2 linked regions of the Xenopus tropicalis genome follow. The protein of the gene in region 1 purifies or fractionates together with the protein of each later gene. This does not show direct contact. Links are inferred from orthologs where the notes say so. Each region holds a gene or a part of one and is shown on either strand. Other genes may lie near its edges.

Region 1 (4,136 bases):
CTTCTTGAATCACAAACTCCCTGCTCCTCCACTTAAAAAGCTGCCATTAGAAGGTTCAGGTACCTCCCACTGCGAGGCACAAAGACGTACCTTTAGGGGTATATTTATCATGCTTTGTAAAAAGTGGAGTGAAGCATTACTGGTGATGTTGCCCAGGGCAACCAATCAGCTATTAGATTTCAACAGCAAACAAATCATCTGATCTGATTGGCTGCTATGAGCAACATCACTGGTAATGTTTTACTTCACTTTTTACACAACATGATAAATATACACCTTAATGTACAGGGCTGCAGACACAAGAAGTACGATATAATACCTGTAGAATTCACTCTCAGGGTCGCTGTGCCGAATCTGGAATGGCAGCTTGGGGACCTTACAGTCCTGGGGCAGCAGATCCTCTGGGAGGGCAGGAGAGGTAGGCCTGAGGGGTAAAGGCTCGCTCTCCTCCACCTTCATACCCTCCACCTGCTGCTGGTTCTGAGCCTGAGCGCCGGCGATGAGGCCCCGCAGTCTGCGGTTATGCTGGATGAGCTGAATGGTGTGGATAGTCAGGCTGCAGGGTTCAGAGGGAATGTCCAGCATAGTGGTAGGCCGGGGCTTATTGGCCGATGGCTGGTGTAGGGGAGGCTCCTGCATTTCCACCGTTCGGAACTCGCGTTGCAGGAGATCAAAGGAGCTTCTATTGGCCTGCCCAGAGGAGACTGGGATCTCGCCCCAATAGCGCATCATCTTCCCTCTCTTTGTGTCAGTGATTATAGTCACACAATCAATGGACTCTCATTCAGCTATGATATCTCTGTCATTCTGGGCCTCTCTCTGCCGCATCAGCCGCTTCTCTTATATTAATCACCTGCATGGCGCAAAGTAACAAAAAGTACAGTGAGAAAATAGATATGGGATCCCTTATCCAGAAAGTTTAGAATCACGGAAAGGCCATCTCCCATAGACTCTATTATAAGCAAATAATGCTAATTTTTAAAAACGATTTCCTTTTTCTCTGTAATAATAAAACAGTACCTGTACTTGATCCCAACTAAGATATAATTACCCCTTATTGGGGCAGAACAGCCCTATTGGGTTTATTTAATGGTTAAATGATTCCCTTTTCTCTGTAATAATAAAACAGTACCTGTACTTGATCCCAACTAAGATATAATTACCCCTTATTGGGGGTAGAACAGCCCTATTGGGTTTATTTCATGGTTAAATGATTCCCTTTTCTCTGTAATAATAAAACAGTACCTGTACTTGATCCCAACTAAGATATAATTACCCCTTATTGGGGGCAGAACAGCCCTATTGGGTTTATTTAATGGTTAAATGATTCCCTTTTCTCTGTAATAATAAAACAGTACCTGTACTTGATCCCAACTAAGATATAATTACCCCTTATTGGGGCAGAACAGCCCTATTGGGTTTATTTAATGGTTAAATGATTCCCTTTTCTCTGTAATAATAAAACAGTACCTGTACTTGATCCCAACTAAGATATAATTACCCCTTATTGGGGCAGAACAGCCCTATTGGGTTTATTTAATGGTTAAATGATTCCCTTTTCTCTGTAATAATAAAACAGTACCTGTACTTGATCCCAACTAAGATATAATTACCCCTTATTGGGGGCAGAACAGCCCTATTGGGTTTATTTAATGGTTAAATGATTCCCTTTTCTCTGTAATAATAAAACAGTACCTGTACTTGATCCCAACTAAGATATAATTACCCCTTATTGGGGCAGAACAGCCCTATTGGGTTTATTTAATGGTTAAATGATTCCCTTTTCTCTGTAATAATAAAACAGTACCTGTACTTGATCCCAACTAAGATATAATTACCCCTTATTGGGGGCAGAACAGCCCTATTGGGTTTATTTAATGGTTAAATGATTCCCTTTTCTCTGTAATAATAAAACAGTACCTGTACTTGATCCCAACTAAGATATAATTACCCCTTATTGGGGGCAGAACAGCCCTATTGGGTTTATTTAATGGTTAAATGATTCCCTTTTCTCTGTAATAATAAAACAGTACCTGTACTTGATTCCAACTAAGATATAATTACCCCTTATTGGGGGCAGAACAGCCCTATTGGGTTTATTTCATGGTTAAATGATTCCCTTTTCTCTGTAATAATAAAACAGTACCTGTACTTGATCCCAACTAAGATATAATTACCCCTTATTGGGGGCAGAACAGCCCTATTGGGTTTATTTAATGGTTAAATGATTCCCTTTTCTCTGTAATAATAAAACAGTACCTGTACTTGATCCCAACTAAGATATAATTACCCCTTATTGGGGCAGAACAGCCCTATTGGGTTTATTTCATGGTTAAATGATTCCCTTTTCTCTGTAATAATAAAACAGTACCTGTACTTGATCCCAACTAAGATATAATTACCCCTTATTGGGGGCAGAACAGCCCTATTGGGTTTATTTCATGGTTAAATGATTCCCTTTTCTCTGTAATAATAAAACAGTACCTGTACTTGATCCCAACTAAGATATAATTACCCCTTATTGGGGGCAGAACAGCCCTATTGGGTTTATTTCATGGTTAAATGATTCCCTTTTCTCTGTAATAATAAAACAGTACCTGTACTTGATCCCAACTAAGATATAATTACCCCTTATTGGGGGCAGAACAGCCCTATTGGGTTTATTTCATGGTTAAATGATTCCCTTTTCTCTGTAATAATAAAACAGTACCTGTACTTGATCCCAACTAAGATATAATTACCCCTTATTGGGGCAGAACAGCCCCCCAGGAGCCCCCCATTACCTCACACAGTCAGTCCGGTTTCCCTGTGTCCCAGACTGGGGGGGGGGGGCACGCCGGAAGTGATCTCATCAACAGGCGCCTCCATGAGACCGGAAGCAGCTGCGGGCCGCTCTGTGGTGTTTGTAGCGGGATAACGTACCGTGGGTTCCGGATTCTCCTCCCGAACCGGTGAAAGTGGCGCTGGATACATGGAGGCCCTTGCACATGACCCGGATGGCAGGGAACGGGCCAGTTATCCCGGGGCCGCTGCCTTGGAAGCCGGGGATACGGGGGCCCCTGGGGCCGGGGATAATGGGCAAGGGGGGAGCGCTGCCGGGGAACCTCCCAGTACCGGGGGCCCGACCGATACTGCCAATGGGGCCCCCACTCCAGGGCCCGGGGTTGCTGAGAGGGGTGGGGGTGAGGGGGCCGGGGGCAGCGAGGGCCCCAAGAATGTTTGTTCCAGGGGGGTCAGGGATAGCCATGAGGGGCTTGGGGGCCACAGGCATGAGAGTTCCTCTTGTACAGGGACCAGTGCAGAAACCCAACGGGATTCCAGGCCCACCCAGGGGCCCAATGATAGCCAGTCCCAGGGGCCCAATGATAGCCAGTCCCAGGGGCCCAATGATAGCCAGTCCCAGGGGCCCAATGATAGCCAGTCCCAGGGGCCCAATGATAGCCAGTCCCAGGGGCCCAATCATGCCCAATCTGAGGGGTCCCATGTTACCCAATGCAAGGGGCCCAATGATAGCCAATGCCAGGGGCCCAATCATGCCCAATGCCAGGGGCCCAATCATGCCCAATGCCAGGGGCCCAATCATGCCCAATCTGAGGGGTCCCATGTTACCCAATGCCAGGGGCCCAATAATACCCAATCCCGGGGGGCCAATAATGCCCAATCCCAGGGGTCCCATGTTACCCCCAAGGGGCCCGATAATAGCCAATCCCAGGGGCCCCATGTTACCCAATCCCATGGGGAGGGGCAGTCCAGCTCCTGGACCAATGAGGATGAACACTCCAATGCTTCTGGGGCCAGCACCCCCAAGGAATCCAGTTCACCCAGGGGCATCAGTTCCACGGGCCCCGATTCTGCAGGGGCCACTCCAGAGAAACAACCTAGTCCCAGGCCCAGTTATGGGGAGATTGCCTCAAGGACTCCCAGTAAGGATGGAGGCTCTGGCTGCAGTGCGCCCAGGGACAGTCCCATGGAGGGGCCCGATGATGCCAGGACCACAGAATCCTTTAAGAAACCCATCTTTGCTGCCCGCCCGAGTGGCACTGAAAAGGCAGCTCAGCCAAGGGACAAACCAGTCGTCCATTCACAGCCTTCGGCCCCAACTTGCAGCAGGACCCCCAGCGCTGAAACGCCCACGG
Region 2 (3,500 bases), on another chromosome or scaffold:
ATTCATGTATAAAAGTTAATTACAAAGATTACATCAACATTATAAATTTGGAGGGGAAAAAAAAAATGAGCACCCCTAATAAGAATGTCTGTAATACTAGTAGTGATATATTTGTAAACTTTAAGCATCCTTTGCCCTGCAAGATGGATTAATACTAACCAGTCAACACTGCCATTGGAAGCAGTGATTGGTTTCCCAGTACAGGCAAAGTGATTTATATGCTGTACAATCCCTTATTATCAGGGGTAAATCTTCTGATACACTTAGGAAAGCATTATAACAGGTGATGTTTTAAATAAATCAGAAGGCAAAGCAGTTAAAATAGGGTTAGAACACAGCTAACTGAAGATCTCCTTTAATTGCAGACACAGAATACAGATTATAGATAGATATATAGATATCTATCTATCTAGATATATATAGATATCTATCTATATATATATATATTTTTGGTGAGCATCCGGCGCGTGGTTTGCGATTGGTGAGTGCCGTCATTGGAATAGATATATATATATATATATACATATACACACACACACACACACATTTTTTTGCACATATACATTATATATCACACACACACACACACACTAAATGTAACTTACCTATAGTACAATTTGTCGTAATTTTTCTTCTCTTGGGGTTATGCTGTAACAGCTCTAGTTCCCGCTTTGTTGGCTCCCACGTTGAATACTTTTCTCCAACTCCTACAATAATTAAATAATTTGGGAGTGACCAATAAATGAAAAATTACTGCAGGAAAGCTGAAATGAACATGTTCTAATTATTACATTCAGATACGACACATACAAGCATGAATTCAGCAACCTGTGTTTAGCCCGTTAAGTACAAGTATAATGGTAACATATATTGTGGTTAATTTTGTATATCAGAACTTTAACCACCACCCTATCATTCAATGTTTTGGACAACTGTAAACCCTTTGTCCAGAAGCAGGATTCTAAGAAATTTGTGGCGTTAAATAAAATGGTGCTGATTCTCTCCTATGATTTGTGTTGAAATAATTCAAATAGTGGGATATAAGCACTTTTTTTGTACCCAGGAGCATGTTTGCGACATATGGTATTGTAGAATGTAACTGAAAGGCACAGTATAGTATATACATTTGCCAAAATAAATAGAACTTATGGTAAAAATACAATCAGATTTTTAATTAAAAACGCATATTTTAAAGTTAATTTTTAATATAAAGCACTAGCAGAGCATTTTTTTTCCTTCACACTTATCTTACCTTTAAAGGACATATGACAGGTGAAAGGGGCAATACACACCCACCAGTAAATCAAATCATTAAGGCCATCCCCAAGGTGGTGGTCCTTTTTGGAAAAAAAATTGCACTAGCTTATATGCAGCATAGAGTATATATTAAATTTATTTGGTTTGGTGTTGTAAAATATTTTCTTGGAATTTGTGCAAGAATAACCACTACATTGAAATACATTATTTATCTTTTATACGAGTATGTGTTCATATTCACCATGACCAGAAAACCAGTTGTGCAGAAAGCTTACATTTCAAATCATAAGCAGACACAAATTATACATACTAAAGGGTTTTCCTGTGAATTTTAGTTGGACTGTATGTTTTCTACAGGAGCCATAAACTAATTTCTGTATGCGAGAAACTCACTCAACTCACAGGTTGCAGAAAACTGGCAAGTTTGGGGTGGTTTATCTTATCAGTTGAGACGTTCACTGTGGGGGCAAGTGGGGAAAACCTGTATAAAAAGTAAGCACTGCACAGTGGGGGGGGGGGAGCCTGTGAGGAGACGGGAGCAGCCTTTAAGGAGACAGAGGAGACATCATGTAAGGACTGCAGACCAAAGGTGCTGGAGGGAGAGAGAGAAGCCATGATAGAACTGGAGGACAAAAGGAAGCCAACGTCTGTTCTATTACCATTACAATAATGTAGACTGTATAACTACCCTGTAAGTATATCACTTTAACATACACTTATTGGTGTGGATTATTTGTCTGCTGCTCAAAAGAACCATAAGCAAGAGGTGTGATTATTATTAATATTAAATCTTATACCACCAACACACCAGTATTGGCTGTGTTGCTGCTCTCGTGGAGAACTAAGGAGTAGCCTTTCTTGTCACAGAACAGGAAATTCTCTGCCTCAGGCAGACACTGGCACTAAGAGGAATGCACCATTCAGTAAGCGTGATGAGCACATTTTTTCAGCAGACATGGATTCGTGGCAGAATTTCTCATTCCGTCTTTGGCAATTTTTTTTGCAAAACTGCTGTAAAAATTCGCAGTGAGGAAAAAGTTGTGGCCACGTCAAAAAATAAATAAAATCACGTGGTAGCCACAATTCACAAATGTTTTGGTAAAGCAAAATGAGACAGATTTGAGCATCGCTATTCAGAAACTCACTTTGGCCATTTTCAATGGGTAGCAGTAACAGGACTACACTATACTAAACTCATTAATAAACACTAGGCAAATTTGGCCGTGGGCAGTAACCCATAGCAACCACAGATTCGCTTTTCTAGACAGCTGAAGGTAGAAAAATGAATGCAACAATTTGATTGATTTCCATGGGTTACTGCCCATGGTCAATTTTGCCCAATATCAATAAATTACACCCATTGTGCTTAGTTTACAAATCTTAAAAAAAAAAAAAAAAAAAAAAGTATAAAGCACTATTTGATAAAATTTGGGTTTTTAACCACCCCAAATTGCAAATTAATATCTGCGTGGTTAAACATTACTTGGAATGAATGTGCTATATTTGCCATTTTGCAAAAGTTTGTACAAGGTTTTAAGATAATTTTACGAAACTATAAAATAATTAATAGATAATTTTTTATCAGCACACTCTGGGGATAAATACAGAGCACATTAAGTGAATAAAGGCCATTTGTAAATAAAAAATATTTCACACATTTATATATTAGTATATGGTAGATTAGTATTTTGACATTTATGGTCTTATACCATGAGCTTTTAGGAATGATAACATTTCCCTCAATAGAATATCTTTTATAAATAAAAGATTTTCTTGCCATAGTGGAATTAACCAGTGGTAAGTCTTGCCTGAACTGCTTAAGAACAAATTAAAGGGATACTACAGTTTTATTTGCTTATTATGTTGGGTTAAAAAACCCAACATACTGTTCAGCTTATTCTTCTGCTTTTTCTTATTATTATTCTTAGCGTCCCCCATTTTCTAAAAGATACTCCTACAGTTTTAGGGGGACAACACCCAAACTTTCCACACTTCGCCCTAAAGTGGAGCAGATTGCTTGTGCTTTTCTAAGCGATCCCTCCCCCAGTCTTTTTGTGGCGCCGCTCCGAACACCCCGATTTTCCCATTGACTGACAGGGAAGATTTTCAAAATGCTGCCACTCTTACAGCTTTAAAGCTACACCCCCCAAACATGAACAACAATCATGGGGTCACCCGAATGAAACAGCCACATTTGTTGAATGACCCCCAAAGTGGGAGGGGCCAACAGCCAATCAAATTTC

What was found. Proteins that work in one complex are often made in the same cells at the same time.
Region 2: the proteins of supt7l (region 1) and usp22 purify together in Homo sapiens (affinity purification with mass spectrometry; 3 studies listed by BioGRID and IntAct, with this or other methods). This does not show direct contact. The link is inferred for Xenopus tropicalis from reciprocal best matches to the Homo sapiens genes SUPT7L and USP22.

What each region holds. Positions count from the first base shown.
Region 1 is NC_030681.2:5,371,949-5,376,084, forward strand, and holds the start of supt7l (STAGA complex 65 subunit gamma), read right to left. Parts: upstream 2,801-4,136; 5' UTR 2,784-2,800; intron 854-2,783; 5' UTR 733-853; coding exon 320-732; intron 1-319. Other genes in the region: slc4a1ap (kanadaptin), read left to right, coding at 2,972-4,136.
Region 2 is NC_030685.2:41,426,026-41,429,525, forward strand, and holds part of usp22 (ubiquitin carboxyl-terminal hydrolase 22), read right to left. Parts: intron 708-3,500; coding exon 606-707; intron 1-605. UniProt on the Homo sapiens protein: Deubiquitinase that plays a role in several cellular processes including transcriptional regulation, cell cycle progression or innate immunity.